4 linked regions of the Elephas maximus indicus genome follow. The protein of the gene in region 3 purifies or fractionates together with the protein of the main gene of each other region. This does not show direct contact. Links are inferred from orthologs where the notes say so. Each region holds a gene or a part of one and is shown on either strand. Other genes may lie near its edges. The genes, in order: CNOT10, CNOT11, TNKS1BP1 and CNOT6.

Region 1 (7,131 bases), on a different chromosome or scaffold from region 3:
GTAGATATTTCATGCATTAACTAAAAGACCAGTGACAGTGACCACTGCAAAAATGTGACTCCGACATGTAAGAGTAAAGTCATCAGAGACTATCGCCCTGGGATGCTCTTTAAACTTGGAACTCAAACCACTCCCAGAGGTCACCTCTCAGCCAAATGACAGACTGTCCCATAAAATAAATAATATCACCTGTGAGGACTGTGCTCCCCAAAATAATTATCCAGGTGAAATCAAAGGCTTAACATTTACCCTAGACAAAAGATGAGAAGGCTAGGGGGGACAGGAAAACTGGATTAACGGAAACAGAACAACTAAAATAGAAATAATAAGAACGCAGAAATATTGTGAAGAATGTAACCAATGTCACTAGACAATATGTACAAAATTTGTTAAATGAGAACTTAATTTCCTATGTAAACTTTCACCAAAGACACAATATATAAGAGTAATGTCATCATTTGTGACTTAAAGAACAACTTCAAAGTCTCATGATATTTGGATTTCTTATTTACATGTTCACTTTTTATTACAAAACTAATAAATACATATAAAGTACAAAGCGGCTCTACAATCTCTACCCCGAATAACTGTCAACAGTCTGACCGCACTTCTATCCCACTTTCCAGGATTTTTGCTCTGACCCCTCTTTCACATTTGCAAACCATCAGGTACTTAGTAACAGTAATGATCAATTACTTTAATAATGTGTTGAAATGGGACGCAGGATTACAGGACCCCAGAAAGCACAGGAGGGGGTTAGGTTGAAGCTCAACCCTCAACTTATCACATTATATTGATGATAAAATTTTAACAATGAATACAAATACTTTTTACATGTTTCTCTTTCCATTTAAGAGTTTAGGAAACGCAAGTTCTTAAAAAATTACCTTTCCCCTATAAGTAAGTATGGAAACCCTGCTGGCATAGTGGTTAAGAATTCGGCTGCTAACCGAAAGGTCAGCAGTTCCAATCTACCAGGTGCTCCTTGGAAACCCTATGGGACAGTTCTACTCTGCCCTATAGAGTCGCTATGAGTTGGAATCGACTTGATGGCAACAGGTTTGGTTTTTTTGGTTTGTAAGTATGGAGCCTTCGTGGCATAGTAGTTAAGGGCTCGGCTGCTAACCAAAAGGTCGGCAGTTCGAATCCACCAGCCGCTCCTTGGAAACCCTATGGGGTAGGTCTACTCTATCCTACGAGTCGGAATCGACTTGATGGCAATGGGTTTGGTTTTTATGGTGCATATTTAAACCAAATGCCAAAAATTCTTAGCTTGCCATCAAGTTATCTTTATAGCTTGTTCCAAAATATGCCCCTTCTAGACCAGATGACATTCTTTAACGGGTCTTCTGGGCCTAACTGTTAGAGACTGACCATTAACTATAGGGCACAAGGATGCACTCAACAATTCACCAAGGAGTCAAGGAGTTTAAGCTTCTATTCTCCGTGAAAAGCAGAGTGGTGCATGTGGCCACTGCTGTCGTCATCCCCTAGGGACTGCAAGTCTCCCCAAATTCTCCAGGAAAGGAAAGAAGCCAGGTTTTAAATAAATAAGCTGGACTTTAAGCCTGACAAGAAAATCTGTGATTCTTGTATCTACACCTGTTTCAAAGAACTGAGCTCAATAAATAACCTTTTACATGTTAACCAACTGTTATTTTACCTAAATTCTTTCACTTTAGCATGAAAATTTACTGTTTTTTTTAAAAATACACTATAGTGAGAACGCTCATTTTCTTTTTATCTTTTTGCACTTTTCAAACGTTCTATGATAAATACGTATTTCTCCTATAATTGGTTTTTAAAATTTTTTAAAATCATTATTTGTAACTGCTAATTTCTTACCAGTTAGAGCCTGCACGTAATTCCACAACATTTCTTTATTTGTCCAAAAGTAGTCCCCATTGCCAATTGAAAGAGAATATGATGATGGGTCTTTCAAAGGCTTGACTTTCCTTTTACTCTGACCTAACGAACATGGCTGACCTAGGCAACCCGAGCTCTTTGCCTCACAAATCTTGACAGTCTTCAAGCCGACAGGCTTCATTTCTAACCAAACGAATGCCTTTAGGTATGAACTAAGTGGAAAAGGAACACGCTGCTTTTTCAAAACTGAAAGCCAGTTAACTGAAAGCAGAGACGCATTCCAATACAGAACACTAACAATTCAAATCTGATTGGAGCATGAGCTTCCGCGCAACCTACACTTGTCAATACGTAGCTCCAGTGATGTTCAAGAAAAGATAATTTTTCAAAGAAAAAAGGAATGCATTAAGATTGACAGAAATCTGCAATGTTTGCAAAATACTGACATGCCTTTGTGGAGAAAAGTTTTAACAAGGATGCCATTTCAAAGAAAAGTAATCCAGGCTCACCAAAGTCACCATATAGCTGAGGCTCACATACCTCACGTGTTCCTTCTAGCACCTAAACAACAAGTATACCTGAGGTATGAAAACTCCACACACAGATACCTGACCTCTACATAACTCAGAGAAGTAACAGGGGACCAGTGGAGCTACCTTCCAGAAAGCAAGAAGTACTGCATAAGCCACGTTTCCTTTTCACTGTAGGCTGGACGTGAGGAGCTGCAAAAATGGAGAGCAGACATTGCAGGGCCCAAAGGATACGCCATTCATAACCAGCAATGCTACAGAGGTGGACACCTTGCCTAGTGCTTCAGAAAGAAAGGAAGTGAAGTCCAAATCAAGAACATCAGCATGCTCTGGGGATAACCAGCAAAGCATACCCACTCCCACTGCCAGTGAGTATTTTTATTTTCATATCTGAGAGCAGTTTTTATGCATAAAAAAGACTGAGATTTACTCTAGGTTTAAACATTAATATTAGATTTGTTGAAGTTATAAATTAATAAAGCCTAGATTTTCCTCAAGCTTTTACATTCAACTTAGACATCTTATTACCCTATTTAAAGGTCTAGGAAACCTGCGTCGATTTTAAGCGGCTGTAATGAATATTTGATCTCATTTACAGAGTTAAGCTCTTTCAAACAAAATTTTCCCTACTTTAAAATCTTTAATATGTTCAATTTTAGGTACAATTGCTTGACTTAAAACATTTTCTGAGAACTTAAATACATTAATTTATAAATCTAAGAAATGAGATGGATAAATACAGTAACTCTTAGGTACTCTTTGATGTTCCATGCAATAATACAAATATAGTAAGGACTTGACTTAAATTCACAACTATAATCAATTACTCACTCATTTATACATTTTTAATCACAATAACAAGATTAATACACTGCTCCAAATTCTTAAACATTAAACATACTTAAAATATCAAACATAAGCAAGATAGTGGCATCAGCAAAATGTAACATCTTAATGGCATTAGGTAAACTTTCATTTTCTAGTCACCTGCACTCAATCCCCTCCCTAGTTTGGCACGGCCACCTTAAAGCCACAATGGTCCACATTCCCAGAGAGAGAGCCTGGTCTCTGGCTTTAGATACGGCAGAGCAGACTTTGTTGTATCTGATCTAACCTGTCCGAGGACTGCCTCAAGGACTAAAGCAAGGTGCTCATCTTGGTTTGACACGTCTGGGCTGAGGGGCAGTAGGGAACTCTGAAAAGCTGTAGCTGCCTGTAGCTAAAGAATGCAATTAAGGCACACAACAGGCACCTAAAGACTGGAAGGAAAAGCCAAGAAAGATTACTTTTGTAAAAGAAGACTTTCAAAAGCACCTTGTATATGGAGGAATTAGCAAGGCACACGCTCAGAAATTACCTTTGAAAACCATACACTTTCACGCTGGGCTGTCCTATAGGCTCAACACAAACCTGGCTAAGTGCTGAAGGAGGGCCCTAGCACAGAACCAATTTGCAAAGACAAACAGACATTACTGCACTACCCCCACCCCGGGCACTCAAGGAAATCTGTCAAAAAACTAGCTGAACACAGTTAAGGAACAGAGACTTCAGGGTCTACATATGTAGAGAAACGTAGTCTTTGCAAAAACAGTTAGGGGAAGTCTCTAAATAAATGGATTACTACAGTTCTAATGATTTAAAACAAACAATAAAACCCCCAACAGCCCCAGGGAAGGGGAAGAATCTGATTTCCAGAATTACCATAACAGTCAGATGACCTGGTTTCAACAGAAAATCACAAGGCATTCAACAAAACAGGAAAGGATGACTTGTTCAGAAGAATAAAGTAACAAAAACTGTCCATGCAAAGAAGCCTCGGATAAGCAAAGCATTACTGAAAAAGAAGAAGAAAAGTGGGAGCCCTCACTCTACCTGATTTCAGAACCTATTATACAGCCACAGTAGTCAAAACAGCCTGGTACTGGTATAACAACAGACATGCAGACCAACGGAACAGAATGGAGAACCCAGGTAAAAATCCATCCATGTATGAGCAGCTGGTATTTGACAAAGGCCCAGTGTCAGTTAATTGGGGAAAAGATAGTCTTTTTAACAAATGGTGCTGGCATAACTGGATATCCATTTGCAAAAAAAATGAAACAGGACCCATATCTCACACCATGGACAAAAACTAACTCCAAGTGGATCAAAGACCTAAACATAAAGACTAAAACGATAAAGATCATGGAAGAAAAAATAGGGACAATGTTAGGAGCCCTAATACAAGGCATAAACAGAAAACAAAACATTACCAAAAATGACAAAGAGAAACCAGATAACTGGGAGCTCCTAAAAATCAAACACCTATGCTCATCTAAAGACTTCACCAAAAGAGTAGAAAGACCACCTACAGACTGGGAAAGAATTTTCAGCTACGACATCTCCGACCAGCGCCTGATCTCTAAAATCTATATGATTCTGTTAAAACTCAACCACAAAAAGACAAACAACCCAATCAAGAAGTGGGCAAAGGATATGAACACCTACTTCACTGAAGAAGATATTCAGGCAGCTAACAGATACATGAGAAAATGCTCTCGATCATTAGCCATTAGAGAAATGCAAATTAAAACTACGATGAGATTCCATCTCACTCCAACAAGGCTGGCATTAATCCAAAAAACACAAACTAATAAATGTTGGAGAGGCTGCGGAGAGATTGGAACTCTTATACACTGCTGGTGGGAATGTAAAAGGGTACAACCACTTTGGAAATCTATCTGGCATTATCTTAAACAGTTAGAAATAGAACTACCATACAACCCAGAAATCCCACTCCTCGGAATATACCCTAGAGAAACAAGAGCCTTCACACAAGCAGATATATGCACACCCATGTTTACTGCAGCTCTGTTTACAATAGCAAAAAGCTGGAAGCAACCAAGGTGTCCATCAACGGATGAATGGGTAAATAAATTGTGGTATATTCACACAATGGAATACTACGCATCGATAAAGAACAGTGACGAATCTGTGAAACATTTCATAACATGGAGGAACCTAGAAGGCATTATGCTGAGCGAAATTAGTCAGAGGCAAGAGGACAAATATTGTATAAGACCACTATTATAAGATCTTTAGAAATAGTATAAATTGAGAAGAACACATACTTTTGTGGTTACGAGGTGGGGAGGGAGGGAGGGTGGAAGAGGGTTATTTACTGATTAGTTAGTAGATAAGAACTACTTTAGGTGAAAGGGAAGGACAATACTCAATACACAGAAGGTCAGCTCAACTGGACTGGACCAAAAGCAAAGAAGTTTCCAGGATAAACTGAATGCTTCAAAGGTCAGCAGAGCAAGGGTGGATGTTTGGGGACTATGGCTTAAGGGGACTTCTAAGTCAATTGGCAAAATAATTCTATTATGAAAACATTCTGCATCCCACTTTGAAATGTGGCGTCTGGGGTCTTAAATGCTAACAAGCGACCATCTAAGATGCATCAATTGGTCTCAACCCACCTGGATCAAAGGAAAATGAAGAACACCAAGGTCACACAATAACTATCAGCCCAAGAGACAGAAAGGGCCACAGGAACCAAAGACTTACATCATTCTGAGACCAGAAGAACTAGATGGTACCCAGCCACAACCGATGACTGCCCTGACAGGGAGCACAACAGAGAACCCCTGAGGGAGCAGGAGATCAGTGGGATGCAGACCCCAAATTCTCATAAAAAGACCAGACTTAATGGTCTGACTGAGACTAGAGGAATTCCGGCAGTCATGGACCCCAAACCTTCTGTCGGCCCAGGACAGGAACCATTCCCGAAGACAACTCATCAGACATGGAAGGGACTGGACAATGGGTAGGAGAGAGATGCTGATGAAGAGTGAGCTACTTGTATCAGGTGGACGCTTGAGACTGTGTTGGCATCTCCTGTTTAGAGGGGAGATAGGATAGAGAGGGTTAGAAACTGGCAAAATTGTCACGAAAGGAGAGACTGGAAGGGCTGACTCATTAGGGGGAGAGTAAGTGCGAGTACGGAATAAGGTGTATATAAGCTTATGTATGACAGGCTGACTTGATTTGTAAACGTTCACTTAAAGCTCAATAAAAATTATTAAAAAAAAAAAAAAACTGTCCGTGGGAAAGCCCAGATGACGGACTTTAAAACAACAGTATTAAACATACTCAAAAGGTTAAAAAAAAAAAAAGGAAATCAGGAAAATGATGTATGAATAAAACGAGAATAGAGACTATCAAGAAAAAGACAGACATTATTTTAAAAAAGAATGAAAAATACCAGAGCTGAAAAGAATAACTGGAATGAAAAATCCACTGTAGGGGTTCAACAGCAGATTTGATCTGGCAGAAAAAAGAACCAGTGAACACAAATATAGGACAATTACTATCAAGTCTGAGGAGCAAAAAGAAAAGAGAGTGAACAAAAAGACATCCCAATTAAAAAATGGGCAAAGGACTTGGATATGTCACCAAAGAAGATATACGAATGGACCACAAGCACACAAAAAGATGTTCAACATCATTAGTCATTAAAACCAAACCAAACTCACTGCCACTGAGTTGATTCCGACTCATCGTGACCCTACAGGACAGAGTAGAACTGCCCCACAGGGTTTCCAAGGAGTGGCTGGTGGATTTCAACTGCTGACCTTTTGGTAATAGCCAAGCTCTTAACCACTGTGGTTATGTGGGTGAATGTCCTTACTTCTAGGAAATGCGTGTTGATGCATTTAGAAATGAAGTGCCAAGTTGCCAATAACTTATTTCC
Region 2 (6,980 bases), on a different chromosome or scaffold from region 3:
GAACGGATCAATTCCTAGAGAAGGACATCATGTTTGGTGAAGTAGAGGGCCAGCAACAGTATGGGAGACCCTAGGTGAGATGGACTGGCACAACGGCCACAACAATGGAATCGGACATGCAGGTGATCAAGAGGATAATGGAGGACCAGGCAACATTTCGTTCTGTCGTGTGTAAAGTTGCCAGAAGTCTGAGTCGGCCTGACAGCAGCTGACATCATCAGATGCTTACCCTCGACGTACAGTAACAGAAGTTCTAGGAGTGGGCTGGCAGACACTGAGACTTCCTCTTCTGTGTATTTACGTACCATCTGTACCTACTTCAACAGTGATGGGAACAACGGGTAACATCGTAGGGACTTTTACTCTTCGTAACAACCCTGCCAGGGAGGAATTATGATTATCTGCATTTTACAGATAAGAAACTGAGTTGCAGAGAGGTTAAATAACCCATCCAAGAATTCCTTCCCTAGCAACTGCCTCAGCTCCATTGGCAAATTTGTAGGTACAGTACAGTCTATGGGCTGGGATTTGGTTTAGAATCACTGCGTTTGAGAACTGCATTATACAAATGAGGGTTCTTTCGCCTGACCAGCCCTTCAGAATTCAAAGGGCCCTCTGACGTAAATCCTACACTGTCCCCATCCTATAATAATGGCACCCTAGGGTGGTTGGTGGGTTTTGTCCTCACACACACATGCTGCATTCACTTTTGAGGGGTTCTCAAACTTTCTAAAAGCCAGGTTGAGTACCAGTACCCTAAGAGCACCTCAGTCCAACAAAAATGGTGCCTTTCTTAGACAAGAACAGTGCAAGAAACTCATCAGGAGGTACTTGAGATCCAGAGGGGCTGCCAGGCAGAAGACTGATGAGCCTAAAATGTAGAAGCCCTCACATGCCACCAAAAAGCCCCCAGGGAATATCTCAAAAGCTGCTGCCCTAACCATCTCTCCGTATAGCAGGCTCTACCATAGGGCAACCTACCGTCTCCCACGGGTTACGGGCTACAAGCTGTTCTCCCTTGTTTACCTGCTTCGCCACTACACTTGTCCTCTTCTAAGGCCCCTAATCCCTGTCACCATCCACTCTCTACCCTTCTCCTCTCCTGGCTGCAAGACTTCACCCAAAGTCAATCCCCACAAAGCACTGGCTGCTCGAGTTCTAGAAACAAACAGAAAGTGCAGCCTGGCATCTAACCCACTGACCTGATCTTACCAACGCTGCACAACTACACGGTTTACATCGTTCAGCAGTCCTGCATTTTCTAATCGGGGTCGTCTGTCTGAGACTACCTCCTATCCTCTGCCCCCATCCTATTATCCAAGGTCGACCAACCGGCTGCAAAGTCTTTAAACGCTGTTTAACCACAGGTTTAGCTTCTTTGGGTTCTTAATATTGACCTCCATTTACTCATCCGAGAGTTAAAACCGGGGCCAGATCCAGTTGTGTCTTAATGCTTAACTTCAGACACTTCAAATGGGCTGTAGAAAACGAACCGTTTTTGAGGCACTGAACATGGCCAGCCTCACACAGAGCTGCACGGGACACGTCGAGAGGGCTTATTTCCAGCCCCACGAATCTGTAATTAAGTTCCCTCTCTCAGACGTGAGAACAGATGGGCCAGGGGATAGTCTAACTTCACGAAACCCAAACCCACTGCCGTCGAGTCGATTCCAACTCATAGCGACCCTACAGGACAGAGAAGAGCTGCCCCACAGAGTTCCCAAGAAGCGCCTGGCGGATTCGAACTGCCGACCCTTTGGTTAGCAGCCCCAGCACTTAATCACTACGCCACCAGGATTTCCATAACCTCACAGGGAGACTTACTGTCACTTTGGACGAATTCCCAAAAGCGCAAGGGGAAAACGGCCGAGCCCATCCAGCCACCCAGCCACCCCCGGGGCACCGGCCGAGCCCAGCCACCCAACCACCCCCCGCCCCCGGGGCACCGGCCGAGCCCACCCACCCCCCCCCGCCCCCAGGGCACCGGCCGAGCCCACCCACCCAGCCACCCCCCGCCCCCGGGGCACCGGCCGAGCCCACCCACCCAGCCACCCCCCCGCCCCCGGGGCACCGGCCGAGCCCAGCCACCCAGCCACCCCCCCCGCCCCCGGGGCACCGGCCGAGCCCACCCACCCAGCCACCCCCCCCGCCCCCGGGCCACCGGCCGAGCCCACCCACCCAGCCACCCCCCCGCCCCCGGGCCACCGGCCGAGCCCACCCACCCAGCCACCCCCCCGCCCCCGGGCCACCGGCCGAGCCCACCCACCCAGCCACCCCCCCGCCCCCGGGGCACCGGCCGAGCCCACCCACCCAGCCACCCCCCGCCCCCGGGGCTCCGGCGCAGAGGCGGCGCCCACCTGAGAGCGGGGGCCGGTCGGGCTCCTGGCCGCCGCGGGCGGGCGGCGCGGGGTTGAGCAGGTGCGCGAAGCTGGCGGCGAAGGGGTTGGCGGCGAGCGGCTCGGTGCGGTACATCTCCCAGAGCAGGTAGAGCGCCGTGAGGCGCTGCGCCGCGCTGGGCAGCAGGTCGGGCTGCTGCAGCAGCATGACCAGCACCGAGCCCAGGCGGAAGTGGTCGGCCTTGCTGAAGTAGTGGTGGAAGGCCGTGGACAGGCCCTCGAAGGTGCTGCCGCCGCCCGCCTCCTCCGAGATGATGCTCAGCAGGCTCGACAGCTCCTTCGGCGTCAAGCTCATCCTGCCCGCGGGGCCCCCGGGGCCTCCGCTCCCCGGCCCGGGGACGCCGGCTCGAGCGCCTCTGCCGCCGCTGGAGACTCCCGGGCCGCTCCTGGACGCCGACCCCGCCGCCTCCCGGACCCCGCTTTGCTCCGCGGCGCTGAGAAGCCGGCCAGACGCCGCGCTCGTCCCGCCACCGGGCATCCACCTCGCCCGCCTGCCCTGCTTCCTGGCCGGAGTGGCCCTGGCGCCGGCTGGCTCCGTCCCCGCGGCCGTAAAGCGTGCTGTGGCACGACAGCGTCGCAAACAAAACACGCCGGGAAAGCCAGAGCGCCGCGGAGGCAGCGCCGAGCGAGAGCGAGGCTGTGGAGCGAGGCCGCCGGAAGGATCGGGAGGCGTGGGATGGGCGGGCTGGAAGCGGCCGGAAGTGGGGGCGGGGCCGGAGGGGGCGCGCGGATTGGGCGGGCGGGTCGTGGCTCGTAGACGTCACACGGCGGGACAGCCCGGCGAGCCTGGGGTCCGCCTGCTGCCAGTGCCTGCGCTGCTGGGAAGGCGGGCTGTGTAGGCTCCCCCGGCGCAGTGGTTGGCCGGACGGTCCCGATAAACAAACCAAAAATCAAACCCACTGCCACGGAATCAATTTCAACTCGTAGCGACCCTGTACAGAGTGTAACTGCCTCCTAGGGTTTCCAAGGAGCCGCTGGTGGATTCCAACAGCCGACCTTCCGGGCAGCAGCCAAGCGCTTAAAAACTGCACTCTCCCTCCCCCCAATAAGTACTGGCTACTGTAGTGTTTGGATTCTGTGTAGTTTTCTTAATATAACATCCATGGCTGTTCATTGTAAAAAATTTTAAAGCGTATAACTAACCAAACATTTCCCATATCTAAAGCTAATTTGTCTTATGCTGTCATTTGCAGAAATGGAATCCTTGCCGTTTGGCTATGCTACTTTTTACTTAGTCTGCCCTATCCTGGCTGCGAAAATGCTAATGTTTGGTCCAACCCAAAGATTCTGATCCAGGCAGCTAAACAAAACAAGCCTCCCACGTGACTCTAACATGCTCTTTGCCAGACTTGTGTTTCGGTATAACTCATAGCGACCCTATATGACCGGGTAGAAGAGCCCCATCGGGTTTAAGGAGGAGCTGGTGGATTCAAGCTACCGACTTTTTGGTTAGCAGCTGAACGCTTAACCACAGCACCACCAGGGCTCCCAATTGGCTCTCAACTATGCTATCAACTCAAGTAGTTAAATGCCTCCTTAATTCTTAGGGAAATTTTAAGGGAGAGAAATTGCTGGGCCAATGAGTATGCATATTTTGAAGACTTCTTCAATTTCCTGCTCAGTTGCCAAAGATCCCACTAGCCAATTAACATTCCTAACATCAGCAAAGATAATTTGCTAATGTTTGGAACATTGGGGAACTGGGTCAGTTAGCGTGAAAGTACTCTTGTTTTTATTCTTTTACTATAATAAACATAATTGTGTTTGAGCCATTACATTCTGGGGTCTATTTGTTACAGCAATTAACCTACCATACACAGGTTTTACCGTTTTGTATTTTCAAGATGCTTTAAAATATTTGAACATTATTGATTACAAAAAAGAACTAAGTATTGTTCTTTCTGTGGGAGTATTTTCAACATGAACATGACATCAGACTTTGCTTGTGTTCCCACAAACCAGTTCTCAGGCCCTAAGCCATCATCAGCATAGGTTTCGGTGGTCCTCCTTCATACTCACCTCATCCTTGCCCTCAGACTTCCCACCTGCATTTGGTCATTTAACAAGTACTGTTTTGGGCACCTGTTATCTATGAGGAAACCCTGGTGGCACAGTGGTTAAAGTGCTACAGCTGCTAACCAAAAGGTAGGCAATTCAAATCCACCAGGCACTCCTTGGAAACTCTACGGGGCAGTTCTACTGTGTCCTATATGGTCGCTGTGAGTCAGGCAACAGGTTTGGTTATTATCTACAAGTTGGAATCCTACAGCAATGGATTTGGTTTTGAGCACCTTTTATCTGCCAGACAGTGCTATAGGCATTGCTGAAAGGCCAGGGACAAAACAGAGGCATTTTTTGGAGCTTAGAGGAGTTTGGTGGCCCCGGGAGGCCTCTTGGTCAGCAGCACAGTAACAATCAGTGCAGGAACCCCCAGGAGAGAATCATCTTCATCTGATACTTGAGTTTACTATATAATTGAAATATCCCACTGAAACCTTTAAAACTCTTTATAAAATAGAACACAAATTTTCTTTTCTTTTTAGACTGTGTGTACAGAACACAATTTATCCTTGTTATCATTAGAAATATGCTGTAACAGAGTAATGTCTTAGTTATCTAGGGCTGCTATCACAGAAATACCACAAGTGTGTGGCTTTAACAAACAAATCTATCTTCTAACAGTTGAGGAGGCTAGAAGTCTGAATCCAGGGTACTGGCTCTAGAGGAAGGCTTTCTTTCTCTGTAGGCTGGCAGAAAGGCCCCTTTGAGCTTCAGCTCCTGGGAGATCTTCATGAGGCTTGGCTTCTGTCTTCCCCCATCTCTGCTTCTTTTTGCTTGCTTGTTTAATCTCTTTTATACCTCAAAAGAGATTAACTCAAGATATACCCTAATCCTGCCTTATTAACATAACAAACATAACCTAATACTCATTGGCTAGATCTTGAAACGTTCTTTTTGACAATGAATGCAACACCATTCCTCTTCAAGTTGTCATTCCCAGCATAGTAGACTATATGATTGTCCCATTCAAAATGGCCAATGCCAGTCCATTTCAGCTCAATAATGCCTAGGGTATCGATGTTTATGCATTCCATTTCATTTTTGATGATTTCCAATTTTCCTAGATTCATACTTTGTACATTCAAGGTTCCGGTTATTAACAGATGTTTGCAGCTGTTTCTTCTCATTTTGAGTTGTGCCACATCAGCAAATGAAGGTCCCGAAAGCTTTACTCCATCCACGTCATTAAGGTCGACTCTACTTTGAGGAGGCAGCTCTTCCCCAGTCATCTTTTGAGCGCCTTCCAACCTGGGGGGGGGGGTCTCATCTTCCGGCACTATATCAGACAATGTTCTGCTGCTATTCATAAGGTTTTTACTGGCTAATGCTTTTCAGAAGTAGACTGCCGGGTCCTTCTTTCTAGTCTGTCTTAGTCTGGAAGCTCAGCTGAAACCTGTCCTCTGTGGGTGACCCTGCTGGTATCTGAATACCAGTGCCATAGCTTCCAGCATCACAGCAATACACAAGCCCCCACAGTACAACAAACTGACAGACACCTAAAGTACAACGCTGTCAATGATAGGATAGTATCCATATGCCTACAAGGAAGACCAGTTAATACGACTATTATTCAAATTTATGCACCAACCACTAAGGGCAAAGATGAAGAAATAGAAGATTTTTATCAGCTGCTGCAGTCTGAAATTGATCCGACATGCAATCAAGATGCATTGATAATTATTGCCGTTTGGAATATGAAAGTTGGAAACAAAGAAGAAGGATCAGTAATTGGGAAAGATTCCCTTGGTAATAGAAACAATGCCGGAGATCAAATGATAGAATTTTGCAAGACCAACGACTTCTTCATTGCAAATACCTTCTTTCACTAACATACATGGACCTCACCAGATGGAACCCACAGAAATCAAATTGACTACATCTGTGGAAAGAGATGATGGAAAAGCTCAATATCATCAGTCAGAACAAGGCCAGGGGCCGACTGTGGAACAGACTATCAATTGCTCATATGCAAGTTCAAGCTGAAACTGAAGAAAATCAGAGCAAGTCCACGAGAGCCAAAATATGGCTTTGAGTATATCCTACCTGGATTTAGAGACCATCTCAAGAATAGATTTGATGCATTGAACACTAGTGACTGAAGACCAGACGAGTTGTGGAATGACATCAAGGACATCATCCATGAAGAAAGCAAGAGGTCACTGAAAAGAAAGAAAAGACCAAGATGGATGTCAGAGGAGACTCTGAAACTTGCTCTTGAGCATCGAGCAGCTAAAGCAAAAGGAAGAATTCATGAAGTAAAAGAACTGAACAGAAGATTTCAAAGGGCCTCCCGAGAAGACAAAGTAAAGTATTACGATGACATGTGCAAAGAACTGGAGATGGAAAACCAAAAGGGAAGAATACACTGGGCGTTTTTCAAGCTGAAAGAACTGAAGAAAAAATTCAAGCCTTGAGTTGCAATAGTGAAGGATTCCATGGGGAAGATATTAAAAGATGCAGGAAGCATCAAAAGAAGATGGAAGGAATACACAGAGTCATTATACCAAAAAGAATTATTCAATG
Region 3 (6,840 bases):
CATGCAGCTGAGGGATCCTGAGATCCCTGAGCCTTTTCTTCCATTGCCCAGTGCCCATGACCCCAAGGGGCGCCTGCTGGCCTGCTCTGAAGAAGTGTACTTAATGCAACAGTCTCCAGTCCAGCCATAACCTGTGTGTTCACACTCTCTGGTATGTGCAGTCTTAACTCTCCCATCAGACTCCTCCTCTGGCAGAGACTGTACCTGCTCATCCTGCTGCCCCTCCCACCTCAGGCCTGGCACACTGCTCCGCCCACAGTACAGGCTTCAGAATCAAACAGACCCGAATGCAAATGCCAGCTCTGCCTCTTACTTGCTGAGGGAATGTGGGAAATCGTTTTTTGATCCTCAGTCTCCCCCTCTACAAAATGGGTCTAAGTTCCTTTCACCCAACAGATGGTTGTGGATTAAAGGGGACAAGTTTGGAAAATACCTATCTTAAGTGCCCAGCTCTCAGTGTATAGAAACTAAAAGTAAATTTCTATGTTAGACATTTGAGCTCTCTACAGTAAACATGCAGCAGCTCTGTAAGCATGGTCCCAGTAGTATGTTGCTGGAGGAGTACATCTGTGACACTTAGACCAGGGTGTACCTGCACTCAGAGCACACAACTTGCCTAGAGGTGAAGCTTGCGGCCCCAGGGAGCCACCCACGGCATCCTCAGTACCCCCGGCCTCCAGGTACAACAAAACATATGACCTCCCCACCCTCACCTCTCCTCAGGGGTCTTGCTATGCTCTTCCTGGCTCTCCTTTGGAGACTTCAGGGGCCCCTCCTGGGACCATCCCCTGGAAACGGTCCCGCCATCCTCAGCCCTGGGGCTGGTGACAACGCCGTAGGTCCTAGGGCCATAACGTGAGCTGCCATCGTGGTTGAAGGTGAGGCGGGAGCCCCAGAGGCGGTCAGGGCTGGCAGGAACCTCCTTCCGAGGCTGTTCCATCTTGGCCAGGATCTCTTCCACGGTGGTGGCTGCGAAGCGCTCTGAGGCTGGACGGAATGGGGCCGGGGCCTTCCGAACGCCGCCCAGGGCAGCACATCTCGCTGGAGGGGTCAAGGGGGGCACCTCCTCTTTGCCAGCCTCCTCCTTCCCAGTCCCTCGAGTGGATTCTCCTCCATCAGGGGCATCAGCAGTAGGCCTTGGTGCAAAGGGGAGGGGACGTTTGCTGCCACCATAGGGCTGGGGTCCCGCCAGCATGTTCATCTTCCGGGCAGAAGGCAGCTCAGCCAGAGGGCCCCGGGGGGGCCGAGGCCCTACAGGCACCAGTAGGCTGGGCTTGGCAGGCAGGGCTGGCTTGGTGGGAAGGGCCCGGGGCTTGGGCTTGACAGGGGGTTTGGCCCGAGAGTCACCTATCAGAACAAAATGGTTGGGGGGCAGCTGTCAGAACAGCGAGGAAGCAGAACTTCTTGTGTTTCCTGTTCCACCTCATCTCCCACCCTCCCATCTCAGAATGTTCACATCCTTCTAGGCACAATTCAAATGCCACCTCTTCCACGAAGCCTTCCTTGATTTCCCACATGCATCCTAAGAGCATCTTCTCCCGTCTCCAAACTTCTAAAATGTTTAGGCATTTCCCCCGTATAAGTTACTGCTATTTAAGGGCCCAGCTGGTACCCTGTTTGGTACCTAACACAAGGTCTTATCAAAAGAAAGAAAAAATGAATGAATGAATGAATGAACAGGCAAAAGTGTCCATAAATAAATGCCTGACCACCCATATCAAGCCATGTGGCCAACCATCCCCCTATCTAGTCCTCCCCCTTGTATTCTGGGATACTCTTTTATCGATACTCTACTATCGCCCATGACAAAACTCTTAAGCCCAGCTGGGCTTCCGGGCCCTGCCTCCCTGCTGCCCCCGCCCCCAGTATACTCCCAGGCCACCTCCCCACTGTCATCTGGTAAGATCAGGAATGCAAATTTACTATTGACCTAAGCCAAACAGAAGTCAATCTGCTACAGCAAAAAAACAAGACCAGAAAACTGCCTTCTATATAAGGCATTCCAATGCCAAAGAAAGACCTTGGAATTACTCATGGCCACCTCCCTTCTAATAGAATCCGGTATGATCCCCATTCAGCTCAGTGTAAGAAAGCAGTCTAGACAGAGAGCTAGGAGGCCTGGGTTCAAACCCCATCTCTCCCTTCTGGGCCTCAGTTTCCCCTCGATAATACATGAGGCTTGATTGATCACATCATCTTGAAGAGCCCTGTCTGCTCTTACCTGCTGGGGGCTCTATGCATCTCAAACAGCCCCAGATGGTCTCAACAGCCTCTTCCGAAGGGGCTGAGACCTTTACAAACTCATCTGGACGTCCTCACTCCCACCTCAACAGAACCATTCCTGGCCCACCTCCACAAAAACAGAATGGGGGTGTAGTCTCTGCCCCTCCAACCCTCCTCCTCAGCTACCCGCCCCACCCTGCACCCATGGGTACCTGGCTCAGAGCCAGTGAGCACCAGCTCCTCCTCCATCTCCCGGGGCGGTGGGGAAGCCATGGCTGTGCCTTCCCTGAGAGTTGAAACTTTCATCACATGCGGCAGACCCTGCGTGAGATTCAGGGAGCAGAGGGGCATGAGCTGGGGCAGCTGAAGACCCAGGAAAAGAGAAAAAGGAAGAGAAGGAAAAAAAAGTTGGGCGTTGGCAGTAGGCTCAGCCAAGGGAAGTCTCCTAGCACAAGGCAGAGAGTGGGACAGGAAGAGGGAACTTCCGAAGGAGGCTGGGGGAGGTCAAGGGAGGACTCCAGCTGCCAAGTCCTCTCCTCTTCCCAGCTCACCCTCCAACCAACTCTTTCCTCCCGACCCCAGAGTCCTGGACCTTCAGGGAGCCACCCACTGCTCCCTCTTCTGGCAAGCTCTCCAAGTCACCCCACTTACCGTTCCCAAGGCACCCCTTGGGTCCAGCAGCCCCGCTGGAGTTACCTACTCGAGGTAAAACAAGGAGGGCCAAAAAGTCTGAAGTCTCCCAGTGAATCACCTCATGGGAGACGGGAAAAACCCGCTCCTCCCCAACCTGGGGCTCCGCCCCACTGCCTGCCTCCCCCTTCCCGCTCACCCTCCTTCTCTCCCTCCCTCCTCCAGCTGGGAGTGGTTCCCTCTCCCCCTGCCACCCCCCTTCCACATCCCTGCCCCTCTCCCGCCTCCCTCAGAGCCGTCTAATCCAAACACGGAAAAATAAGGAATAAAAAGTAAACATCTGGAATATATTTTTTTCTTTAATTTCTCAATCGCTTTGGCTTCAGCTTAGAATTTGATGAGGTAAAGCCAAGGCCTAGTCCTGTTGCCATAGCAATGGCCTCCCACTGGATTTCCAGAGCCTTGCCAAGAGGAAGGAGGAGCCGGCCCAGGCCTGGGCTGGGAGAATGGGACAGGGCTTGAGAACATCCGGGGGGTGGAGTGGCTTGGGGGAAAACTCCCTGGGGTTCCCCCTTCTAGGACACCCAGGTTGAAACAGCCACAGCCTATGAAAAAGGGAGATAAGTGGGCATCACTCACCAGCCTAGAGATAGCATGATGGGATTTTGAGGGGGGTGAGGAAAAAATTAAAACAAGAAACACAGTCCATGGTAGAATCCAAATAGGTATCCCTCTTCCATATCTATAACAGGTGCTTTGGGTCTGAGAGAACCACGATTCAAATGCTGGATGGGTCTACCACTTTGTAGCTATGTGACCTTGTGCACATGGCTCACTTCTCTAATCCTCGGTTTCCCTATCTAAAAAATGGGGCTATCGTGGCTGTTGGGGGGCTTAAGTGAGGTACCCATTAACCATTGCCGTCGAGTCGATTCCAACTCATAGTGACCCTATAGGACAGAGTAGAAGCGCTCCATAGGGTTTCCAAGGCTGTAATCTTTACGGAAGCAGACTGCCACAACTTTCTCCTGTAGAGCAGCTGGTGGGTTCGAACTTTTGATCTTTTGGTTAGCAGCTTAACCACTGTGCCACCAAGGCTCCTTTTATGCATGCAAACTGCTTAGCACAATGCCTAGCACATCATTAAGTGTCCAATAAACATTAGCTATTATTACTATTATTCCATTCACAGTCTCACCAATGAGCGAGCATCTCAGGTAACCACTTCCTCATCTCCCTGGACCCCAGGCTCTCAGCATTCCCATTCTTTCACTTCCACACACCGCAGTCATGTCACCTGTAGCTCAGATACTCCACCACCTCCTCAGTTCCCATCCTGGCTCCTGGAGCACCATCCCACCCACAAGACCCCCCAGGCACTCCAGCCTGGGAGATAGAGCCCTGCCCCTTGAGGTCAAAAGTAAGAGGAATGTTTCCTACGCACTTAGTGCTCACAAAGCACATGAAGGCAGCAACCCAACCCTTTCCGATATGCAAGGGGCACCACCTCCCACATACACTCCAGCTGGTCTGAGAAAAGACAGCACCAAACCCTAAGAAGGGGGCTCTGGTGCCCAACCATTGCAAAACCTATCCCACTTACCTGTGCCCCTGCCCCACTGTTTCAAACATAAGAGAGGATGTGTGAAGGGTAGAAAGAAGCCCAGGGCTATCAACTGGTCAACCAGTTAGTCGAGAACCACCCAGGGCTGCCCACTGGGTGGGAGAATAACTGAGCAGGTCCCTGTCCAAGTGTGCATGGGGGAGGAGCCACAGGACAGAAAAAATTAAATTAAGAAACACGAGATCGTTTACTTGTCCTTGAACATTATTACAAGGGACATGGTGTGGGTGGTTAGATAGAAATGGAGACAAACTGGCCCAGAACCGAAAAACCCTTTCACCTGGGGGCCTGATGTGGACCTCTGGGGTCTGAGAGGCTGCACCATGAAAGCAGTCATGAACGTGAGAACATGGATTCCCCAATTGGGGAGGGGGCCACAGCAGCTCAGAGGCCCCAGCCAGGAGCTCCAGGTGACCAGACCGTGACCAGAAGCTGCAGAATCGGAGCGGCTCCCGACCACTCCCTACCCCCAGGGGTCCCGGGGAGCCGAGCTGACTGATCCCTGGCAAAAAAGGCCGCCAGAAGGGCTGGGGAGGGGCTGGGAAGCTCGAGCCCAGGGCAGGGGCCTTGAGGCGACTCGGCGCAGATGGGATGGTCCCTCTGGACCCTGGGATCTCTGGCCGAATCTGGGGCCAGAGAGGTCAGCAGGGACGGCATGCGAACTGCTGGAGGAGGGAGGGCCAACCGGAAGGCGGAACAGCCCGGGGCGAGGGGCCGTCTGGAGGGGCCCAGTGGGGAGCTCTGGACACAGAGGGGGCGGCGGCAGCTGAGGAGGAGGAGGAGGAGGAGGAGCAGAAAGCAAAGCGGAGGACCTGTGCGCGGGATGCGAAGCAGCCGGAGAACAGATGGAGGACTGAGGACGCGGACCGGGTGGGGGCGGCCTGGGGTGGCTGGGGGCGTGCCGAGGGGCCGGAGGAGAGGAGGGAGGAAGGGGTCACCCAGCACCTCGGCCCGCCCCAGGCCCTCGCCCCCTCCCCCCTTTCTTCTGGCTCCTGCAGCACGAGATGCAGACTGTGCACCCTTCGCCCCCGCGGCCACGCGTCAGCTCCCCTGTTAGCTCGCGGCCCCCGGCCCCTGAAAACTTTCCCTGAGACCCCCGCCCCACCTCACCCAGAGGTCCCAGCAGCAAAGCGCCCACCTCTCCTATGCCCCTCCCCTGCCCCATCCCGGACCCCGCCCCCTCCCTCGCCCTACCGCCCGCCCCCGCTCACTCACGCGCTCCCCGGGGATGTGGCTCCGCTCGGCTAGGCGCCCCGACGCCAGTCCCCACCGCCGCCGCCGCCGCTGCCGCCGTCACCGCGGGACCGAGCCAGAGCGAGCACCGGCGGGGCCCCGCCCCTAGCTCCGCCCATGACCACGCCCCCAGAGCACCTCATGAACATTCATAAACCGATGCAACCCCGGGAGTGGGAAGCCCTGACGGAACTCGCCCGACCAAATGCAAACAGCGCCGCCCTGGTACTCAATTATTCATGAGTCTTGCAAATGAGGGGCCCGCCTCAGCTCGGACCCGGCGAAACTGACGCAATTCGGGAGTTTGGAATGCTCGGGCAAGATGGCCACCGAGACGACCGCCTAGAGTGGAGGCTGCCTTAGGGCGACCCGATACGCGAGCCCAAGGGCCTGTACTGATGGCAGCACCATAGAGTCACGGCAAGAAAGAAGGTAGCCGTTGGCGGACCGGAGAGGCTTCCTGTTGCCACCCCCGGAGTCCTCCTGAGCACGTACGCAACGTGGCCACCCCACGTGTGTAAATTCAGATTTAGAGCCACCGGGAGGAATACGGTGGCAGCCCTGCTTTCCTTTCTTTGCTTATCCTCTGCTACGCTACCTTCCCAAATATCGCTCCTTCCCAACCCCCAAATTTAGTATCCTCTCCCTTAAGAACAAAAGGTTTACATACTCCATCATATTTTTTCTGTGCCCTATTAGACGTGTACGCGCGCACACGCACAGACACACACCCTACTCATCTTCCCCAACTCTCCAGGCTCAGGTTTCTACTCTCCTGGTTGCAGGGAAACTGGTCAATTCAATTACCTAAAGCCTGATTCAATTACCTAAAGCCTTTGAAGACCCTTGACTCATAGGTGATTAAGGATGGAGCCAGAGGCTGCCTCCTCTTAGCCAGGCTAATGGAGTGGAACTGTGAGAGAGACTTCCTAATCAGATCAGCTCTCATTTCTACACTCTCAGGTGGCCCGTCCCGGCAGAAGAGCGTGAAAACCAATGCTTGTCCAGCTGGAAACAGAACAGGATGTACCTGAAGATTGCTTCCCAGCTGAGAAGCTGGGCCAGGGCGATACAGTAGACAACACTGGGAAAAACGGGCGCCATCCGACAGGGCTACAGAGAAGGCACAA
Region 4 (7,128 bases), on a different chromosome or scaffold from region 3:
ATTATAAATGGGGAAAAAGACTGAGGTTGTCAAGGATTTCATTTTACTTGGCTCCACAATCAACACCCATGGAAGCAGCAGTCAAGAAATCAAATGACACATTGCATTGGGCAAATTGGCTGCAAAAGACCTCTTGAAAGTGTTGAAAAGCAAAGATGTCACCTTGAAGACTAACATGAGCCTGTCCCAAGCCATGGTGTTTTCAATCGCCTCATATGCATTTGAAAGCTGGATGCTAAATAAGGCGGAATGAAGAATTGATGCCTTTGAATTGTGTCACTGGTGAAGAATATTGAATCTACCACGGGCTGCCTAAAAAATGAATAAACCTGTCTTGGAAGTACAACCAGAATGCCCTTGAGAAGAAAGCATATGTCTCACAAACTTTGGACATGTTATCAGGAGGGATCTGTCTCTGGAGAGCATCATGCTTGGTAAAGCAGAGGGTCAGCAAAAAAGAGGAAGACCCTCAACGAGATGGGCTGACACAGTGGCTGCAACAATGGACTCAAGCACAGCAACAATTATGAGGGTGGCGCAGGACCTGGCAGTGTCTCACTCTGTTGTGCATAGGGTTGGTATGAGTTGGAACCGACTGGGCGGCACCTAACAACAATTAGGAAAAGTACTTTCTCTATTCAAGTGGAGTCGCTGATAGAATCTAAGCCTGCAAGTGTTGTCGGCCACAATTCCTACCTGACCTTGAAGACTATGAGGGTTAAGGTTGGGTATCAACTTAACTCGACCATGATTCTGTGGTTTTGCAGTTGTGATGTAGTTTGGCAGCTCTGTGATGATGTTATCACCTCCATTGAGATCTGATGTAATGTAATTACCTCCAAGATGAAATGTTATGATCAGCCAGTCAGTTGAAAGGGAGCTTCCTTGGGGGTGTAGCCTGCATCCAATATAGGTGGACCTTGTGGCAAAGCTCACTGTCTTTTGCTCGCTCTGGATCCTGCAGCTGGCTCCTGTTCATCTGACCTCGAGTTCTTGGGACTTGAGCTAGTAGCTTACCAGCTGATCTTGGGATTCACCAACTTCTGCAGCCTTTGAGCCAGAGGCCTGCTGCCCTGCCAATCTTGGGCTTGTCAGCCCCTGCAGCTGCATGAGTCAGAAACCTTCAGCCTAATCCACGGATTTGGGACTTTACAGCCTCTACAACTGCGTGAGCCATTTCCTTGATATAAATCTCTCTATATGTATTTATACTCTTCACTGGTTTTGCTTCTGTAGAGAACCCAGCCTAAGATGAAGCCTGTTTGAGGAGGTAAGCAGAAAGGAGAGCCGAGTGGAGGGTGGGGGAATGAGATTGATCCTGATGACACCTATGTTGCCTCAACTTTTCAGTTATGTGACACTCCAAATCTGTCTTGGAAGAAGTGCAGCCAGAATGCTCCTTAGAGGCAAGGATGGCAAGACTGCGTCTTACATAGTTTGGACATGTTGTCAAGAGGGATCAGTCCCTGGAGGAGGACATCATGCTTGGCAGAGTACAGGGTCAACGAAATAGAGGAAGACCCTCAACAAGGTGGTTTGACACAGTGGCTGCAACAATGAGCTCAAGCATAACAAAGATTGTAAGGATGGCTCAGGACAGGGCAGTGTTTCGTTCTGTTGTGCACAGGGTCGCTATGAGTCAGAAGCGACTCGATGGCACCTAACAACAACTTGCAATGGGAGGTCTTGCCTAACATGAGAGGAATTTTGATCTGTATCTGAAAAGGTGAGTAGGCATTTGGTCAGGTTCTCTTCATATATTCTGGAAGACCAGGACATGCACAGGCAGGCCACCATTAGTGCCCTTCTTGTGGTAGCCAGTCTACTCAGTTTGCCCCAAATAAGTCCAACACTCCCCATGTGTGCATTCAGCTCCTTCACAGCTCTCTTGTCCCTCCTCTTGAATGTGGACTGGGGCTGTGACCGCTTTGACCAATAGAATACAGTAGAAGTGAAGGCCTGACTGTCCACTTCTTCCCTCTTGGAGCTCTGAGTCACCATGTAAGAAATCCAGGCTCACCTGCTGGAGAGAGCCCACGCAGAAAGGCCAGGAGGATGAGATACTACAATGAGAGGCTTCACTGGGTAGCACCAATGTGCCAGACTTCCAATCCAGCTACCATTTGAGGCATGGGTATGAAACACCTCAAGTGAGACCAGTAGAAGAAATGTTCAGCTGAACTCCAGAATTGTGATATAATTAAATTGTTTTTTGCCGCCAATACACACACACTCCGCAAATCAAATCACAAAAAGTAGCCCACTCTGGAAGGATGAACTGCAAAAAGGCTGGAGTACAGGTTGCCAGGGCTCAGAACACACATAAGGAGGAAAGGCATCACTTGGCCCCACAGCTTAGTGATACTTTATATTGGACACCTGCTGCATAACCCCAGTGTCCACTAGTCCTGGAGGCTGGATGTTGTGGGGGGATGCCCACAGGCAGCTGGTGCATCTGTATTTGTTCTTATCAACCCTTTAGCTCTACTAGGCTTTTGCACTGCCCTGCCTTTTCCCATTGTTCTCAGCACTAGGGGCCTATGCTGTTACTGGTGATTTCTTGCCAGATAGCAGGCAAGGACCATCACAAGGCCATGTTGGGAGAGGTAAGAACAAAACTCAAATAGCTTTTGTCCCTTAATCTTTTCATTGCCCTTCCAGCCTCCTGCCCCCCTACCCTGGGGAGTAGCCACTCCATTTCCCACACTAGATCAAGACAGGTTTCAGTGAGGGGTGTGTGCCTATCGATTTGTTGCTATTGCTAGTACCTGGAGCTGTTTCACTTTCACTTCTTAAAGGCTGATTTTCTGGGAAGGACCAGTAGCCCTTAGTTTGTCATCTAGGTGAGTGGGAAGCTATTTCTTTTCCCTCACGCCATGCATGCATCTCCAACGGACTCCAAGTATTTCTTGCCCCAATATGGTGGGCTTACTCAGAGCAGAGTGGGTGGCACCTAACAACAATTAGTAAAAGTACTTTCTCTATTCAAGTGGAGACGCATAGGGCGGGGCCTCAACTATCAGTCAACTAGTGTGGTGGGGTAGTGGTTAATACAGTGGCTGCTTAACCAAAAGGTCGGCGGTTTGAATCCACCAGCTGCTCCTTGGTAACCCTACGGGGCAGTTCTACTCTGTCCGACCCCTTGCCCTTGAATCGATTCTGACTCACAACGACCCTATAGGACGGAGTACAACGGCCCCACACAGTTTCCAAAGAGCAGCTGGTGGAGTCGAACTGCTGACCTTTAAGTCAGCAGCCGAGCTCTTAACCACTGCGCCATCAGGGCTCCGGTGCCAATTCTTTCTCTGCTAACCTTAGGTCACCACAGTTGGCCCTGCATACAGTTACTCAGGCTAGGACCGCTCCGCCCAAACTGTCTGTTAATTTACAGGGCTGAATTACTATTAATGGACTGAAACGGCTCACTAATTTTTCTGCATAATTGAGGCAGGAAGAATTAAGCGACTCTTCACGACCGAATTTCTAGTTTTGGGGCACCTTAAGGTGTTTCCACGTGATGGACAGAAAGCCTAAGGAAAAGGGAGAGGTGAAACGAAGGGGGGGGGTGGGGAGATCAAGGAAAAAGAAGGAAAAGAGGAAGCAAAAGTGAACAGTCTGAGACAAAAAGAGAAAAACAAACAAAAAAACCCCAAACCCACTGCCATCCAGTCAATTCCGACTCATAGCGACCCTATGGACAGCGCAGAACTGACCCAGAGTTTCCAAGGAGCGCCTGGTGGATTCAAACTGCTGACCTTTTGGTTAGCAGCGTAGCACTTAACCACTACACCACCAGGGGTCCCAAAAAAAGAAGGTAAATGGAAAACGGAAGAACGGAGAAAACAGAAGCGACCAGAAAGGAGAGCGGGAAGAGGAAACGGAGGGCAGGCGGGGGAGCGCTCCGGGCCGGCTCACCCTCCCCGGCGCGGGGGTGAAGGAGCCTGGAGAAGCGGCATGCGGGTGGCGGCCCCCGTCGGACGCCGAATGGTAGCGTCCGGCCACGGCGACCAATGGGCGACCGGGATGTTGGAGCGGCGGCCGCAGTCGGGGCGCTCGCTGGCTGGGGGACTGCGGCCGCCGCCATGATGCTTGTTTGCTTTCAATGAAAACGAGGGGGGCGCGGAAGAGGAGGCGTCGGCGTCGGTGGCGGCGGCGTCGGCGGCGCGGAGGCGAAGGCGGCGGTGGACGCAGCGAGGGGGGTAAAGCCGGAGGCGGAGAAGACAGGAGGGCATAGTGGCGACTAGTTGAGGCGGCTGAGGCGGGCAGCTGAAGCGGTGGCGCTCGGAAGGGGAACAAAGAGCGGCGGCTGAGGAGCGGCAGTGGCGCTGCAGCAGCGGGCGGGACTGGTATGGTGGTTCCACAGGTCAGACCCCGCTGCACTCAGAGGGAGGAGGCGGCGGCAGCGACGGAGGAAGGCGGCGCACCCCGAGAGGTGAGCGAGACGGCCCGAGGCCTGGCTGGCGCTGCTCCCCGCACTGGCCGCGCAGAGGCACCTGTCCAGTCTTGCCTTCGGGACCGGAGCCGGTGCGCGCCGGTGTCTGTCGAAAGCAACTTTTGTGGGTGGCAGTCCCCCCTGCTTGACCGAGCTGCTGGCTTTGGGGCTCCCCCCTTGACGCGCCGCGGTTGTGATCCCGCCCCTCGCCGGGCCGCGCCCCCGCGTGGATCTGGGGCGGGGGGGCGTTGATTGACGGCGGTGGCGGCGGCGCGCTGAGGGTCGGGGACTGGCGCGTCTGGTTTCGGGACCGGGCTCATGCCACCCGGAGGACGCGAGCCCCTGTCCCAGGACTCGTAGTCAGGGTGGGTGGTAACTTGAGCGGAGTGGCTGCGTTCATCTAGGATTGCGAGCTGGGGAAGTGTGGAACTTCGCACTACGCGGCCGCAGTTACCACAAAGCGGGAAACCAACTGTTACACCCCTCCCCCATCAATTATTTAAAATTAATTCAGTTGGGAGACAGACGTTTTTGGGGATGGGGCACAATGACATTGTTAACGAAACGCTTAGCATCAGTTGAAATTTCTTCCTGTAGTCTGTTGCTGAGGATTCGGAGATGGTCTTCCACGATACTAATTACTGGAAACAGTTTTCTCTAATAACCGGCATCATATCTTTTCGTCTTCTTATTTTTAAACCATAGTCGGTATATTCTTTGGAAACCTTCCTCCCCCCGCCCCGCAACTCTTTCACCTTCCCCAAAGGGCCTGTATTTTCAAGTGTTACTGCAAATGACAGCATTGTGAATGATCATATTGCTTGACCTTCTTGGATTTGTTATTGTGCTGAGCTGAAATTGTTTAAATAATTTGCTTGAATTTGAGTTCCCATGCTTACCTGTTTCCCGGATGGATTGGCTCATTATTGCTAGTGCCGAATTTTCTTGCCTCTTGATGTCTGGGAGTGTGAATTTTGGAGGGGAAGAGAGTGAATTATGAATAAGAGAAAAAAGGTGTGTGACAGGACTTAGTGTTTTTCACGTTACAGTAGAATTTACCGTTACAAAGCAGTTTTGTAAGCTGTAGGAATTGAAGTTTTGTAATATCAGATCAGTATCACAGTCTTCTGAATGTGATAAATTTTAGAATAAAACTTGCTTAATTTTTTTTTAGACTAGTGATGTAGTCCGGTCATCTTGCTTTAGACAAAATATTTGATTACCTACTGTTAAGGAAACTGAGACCTAGGAAGATTAGAGCGACTTGCCCAGGATACTATACTTAAAGAGGGTAGGACTAGGTTTTGTGTATGAGTGCATGAGATTGTGATAAAATTGCTGGAGATTTGTTTTAATGGACACATGTTATTTAAAGCAAGCATCCCAACCAGTGTGCCTTGCATATAGGAATGGGTTACAAGTGTGCTGAAGATACTGATCCCCTCAGCCCTTGTGTGCCAAAGGCTCTAGCTGTGAGCAGCGTTGACCATTTATCTCAGTATATCTTAGATATATTATCCTTTTATGCTGTGCTATGACAGAAAAAATGTTTATGCTTTACAGAACATAAGAAAGCTGAGTATAGTGAGATGCTTAACCATTAACCAAAATACATGCATATTATGAGTTCAATGGGCAAATTACTACAACACCTTCATTTACAGTCAGGACCAAATACTATCAGTTCACTTCGTGTCTGTTCAAAAGTTAAGAGTCTGAGATTTCTCAATAATTGTAGTCTTACTTTGCCACCAAGTTTCATCTACAAATAAGCATTCAAAAGGACTTTCTTAAGCTATGTTGCTGCTGATCAAGACATTTTTAATAATTATACAAGGGTAGAGTTCCAAGAGAAACTTCAGAGTCACACAAGAGAATTTATGTATTTGATCACATCCTCTTTTTTGACCATTTCATTAATCAGCTTATTCACTGGAGAATTAACCAGTCTCAGCTACCTTAACCCTTTCAGGACCACTTTTTGTACCTCTGGGGTTTATTGGGAAGCTGCTGACTCACAAATAATGTGTGCTGCTGGCAGGCAGGGCCCTATGCAACAGTTTGAAAGGAAAAAACAGGTGTGTACTGCAAATTACTGTTTTTACAGGGTATTGTGTGAGGTGGTGCTGAATCATTGAATTTTTGGCAGGAGAAGCATGAATTCTGAAAATTTTTATTTGGTACACATTATGTACCTCTGGATTCCAAGAGTACGATTTGTGGAATGAGGCATAAAACAAAAACTGTAATACCTACCAAAAATCCAGATACACTCAATGATTCATATTGCTCTCTATTATAGATTCATATTGCTCTCTATTATAGATTCATATTGCTCTCTATTTCTCTATTACTGAAAATGCATAGTATCAACAAAAAATTAAAAGGAAAAAATAATTAGGTCATGAAAGGGTTAAGGCATTTATTACTTTGGAAAAATCCAAATATATTCAGCTAAGAACATATTTTATCTAGAAGAGACTTGGATTTCTGGGGATGCAATGCTATTTACACTTTCTTTGTGAGTGGAACTTAATGTATTTAGAAAAGAAGGTTCCCATTTTAATTTCCAAATCCCCTCGCTTTCACAAAATTTTTTACTGATTAACTTTACATACTTTACCCACTATCCGCTTTAGGAAGGTGGCCGTTTTACAATGAAGTATGACTAATAAAAGCATTAATCAAAATACATA

Evidence for each region.
Region 1: the proteins of TNKS1BP1 (region 3) and CNOT10 purify together in Homo sapiens (affinity purification with mass spectrometry; 4 studies listed by BioGRID and IntAct, with this or other methods). This does not show direct contact. The link is inferred for Elephas maximus indicus from reciprocal best matches to the Homo sapiens genes TNKS1BP1 and CNOT10.
Region 2: the proteins of TNKS1BP1 (region 3) and CNOT11 purify together in Homo sapiens (affinity purification with mass spectrometry; 5 studies listed by BioGRID and IntAct, counting the BioPlex papers as one, with this or other methods). This does not show direct contact. The link is inferred for Elephas maximus indicus from reciprocal best matches to the Homo sapiens genes TNKS1BP1 and CNOT11.
Region 4: the proteins of TNKS1BP1 (region 3) and CNOT6 purify together in Homo sapiens (affinity purification with mass spectrometry; 3 studies listed by BioGRID and IntAct, with this or other methods). This does not show direct contact. The link is inferred for Elephas maximus indicus from reciprocal best matches to the Homo sapiens genes TNKS1BP1 and CNOT6.

What each region holds. Positions count from the first base shown.
Region 1 is NC_064845.1:6,926,941-6,934,071, forward strand, and holds the start of CNOT10 (CCR4-NOT transcription complex subunit 10), read right to left. Parts: upstream 3,005-7,131; 5' UTR 2,048-3,004; coding exon 1,846-2,047; intron 1-1,845. UniProt on the Homo sapiens protein: Component of the CCR4-NOT complex which is one of the major cellular mRNA deadenylases and is linked to various cellular processes including bulk mRNA degradation, miRNA-mediated repression, translational repression during translational initiation and general transcription regulation.
Region 2 is NC_064835.1:84,609,672-84,616,651, forward strand, and holds the start of CNOT11 (CCR4-NOT transcription complex subunit 11), read right to left. Parts: upstream 3,008-6,980; 5' UTR 2,875-3,007; coding exon 2,358-2,874; intron 1-2,357. UniProt on the Homo sapiens protein: Component of the CCR4-NOT complex which is one of the major cellular mRNA deadenylases and is linked to various cellular processes including bulk mRNA degradation, miRNA-mediated repression, translational repression during translational initiation and general transcription regulation.
Region 3 is NC_064825.1:118,733,422-118,740,261, forward strand, and holds the start of TNKS1BP1 (182 kDa tankyrase-1-binding protein), read right to left. Parts: upstream 3,010-6,840; 5' UTR 2,875-3,009; intron 2,587-2,874; 5' UTR 2,575-2,586; coding exon 2,436-2,574; intron 1,348-2,435; coding exon 714-1,347; intron 1-713.
Region 4 is NC_064820.1:202,907,968-202,915,095, forward strand, and holds the start of CNOT6 (CCR4-NOT transcription complex subunit 6), read left to right. Parts: upstream 1-4,113; 5' UTR 4,114-4,432; intron 4,433-7,128. UniProt on the Homo sapiens protein: Poly(A) nuclease with 3'-5' RNase activity.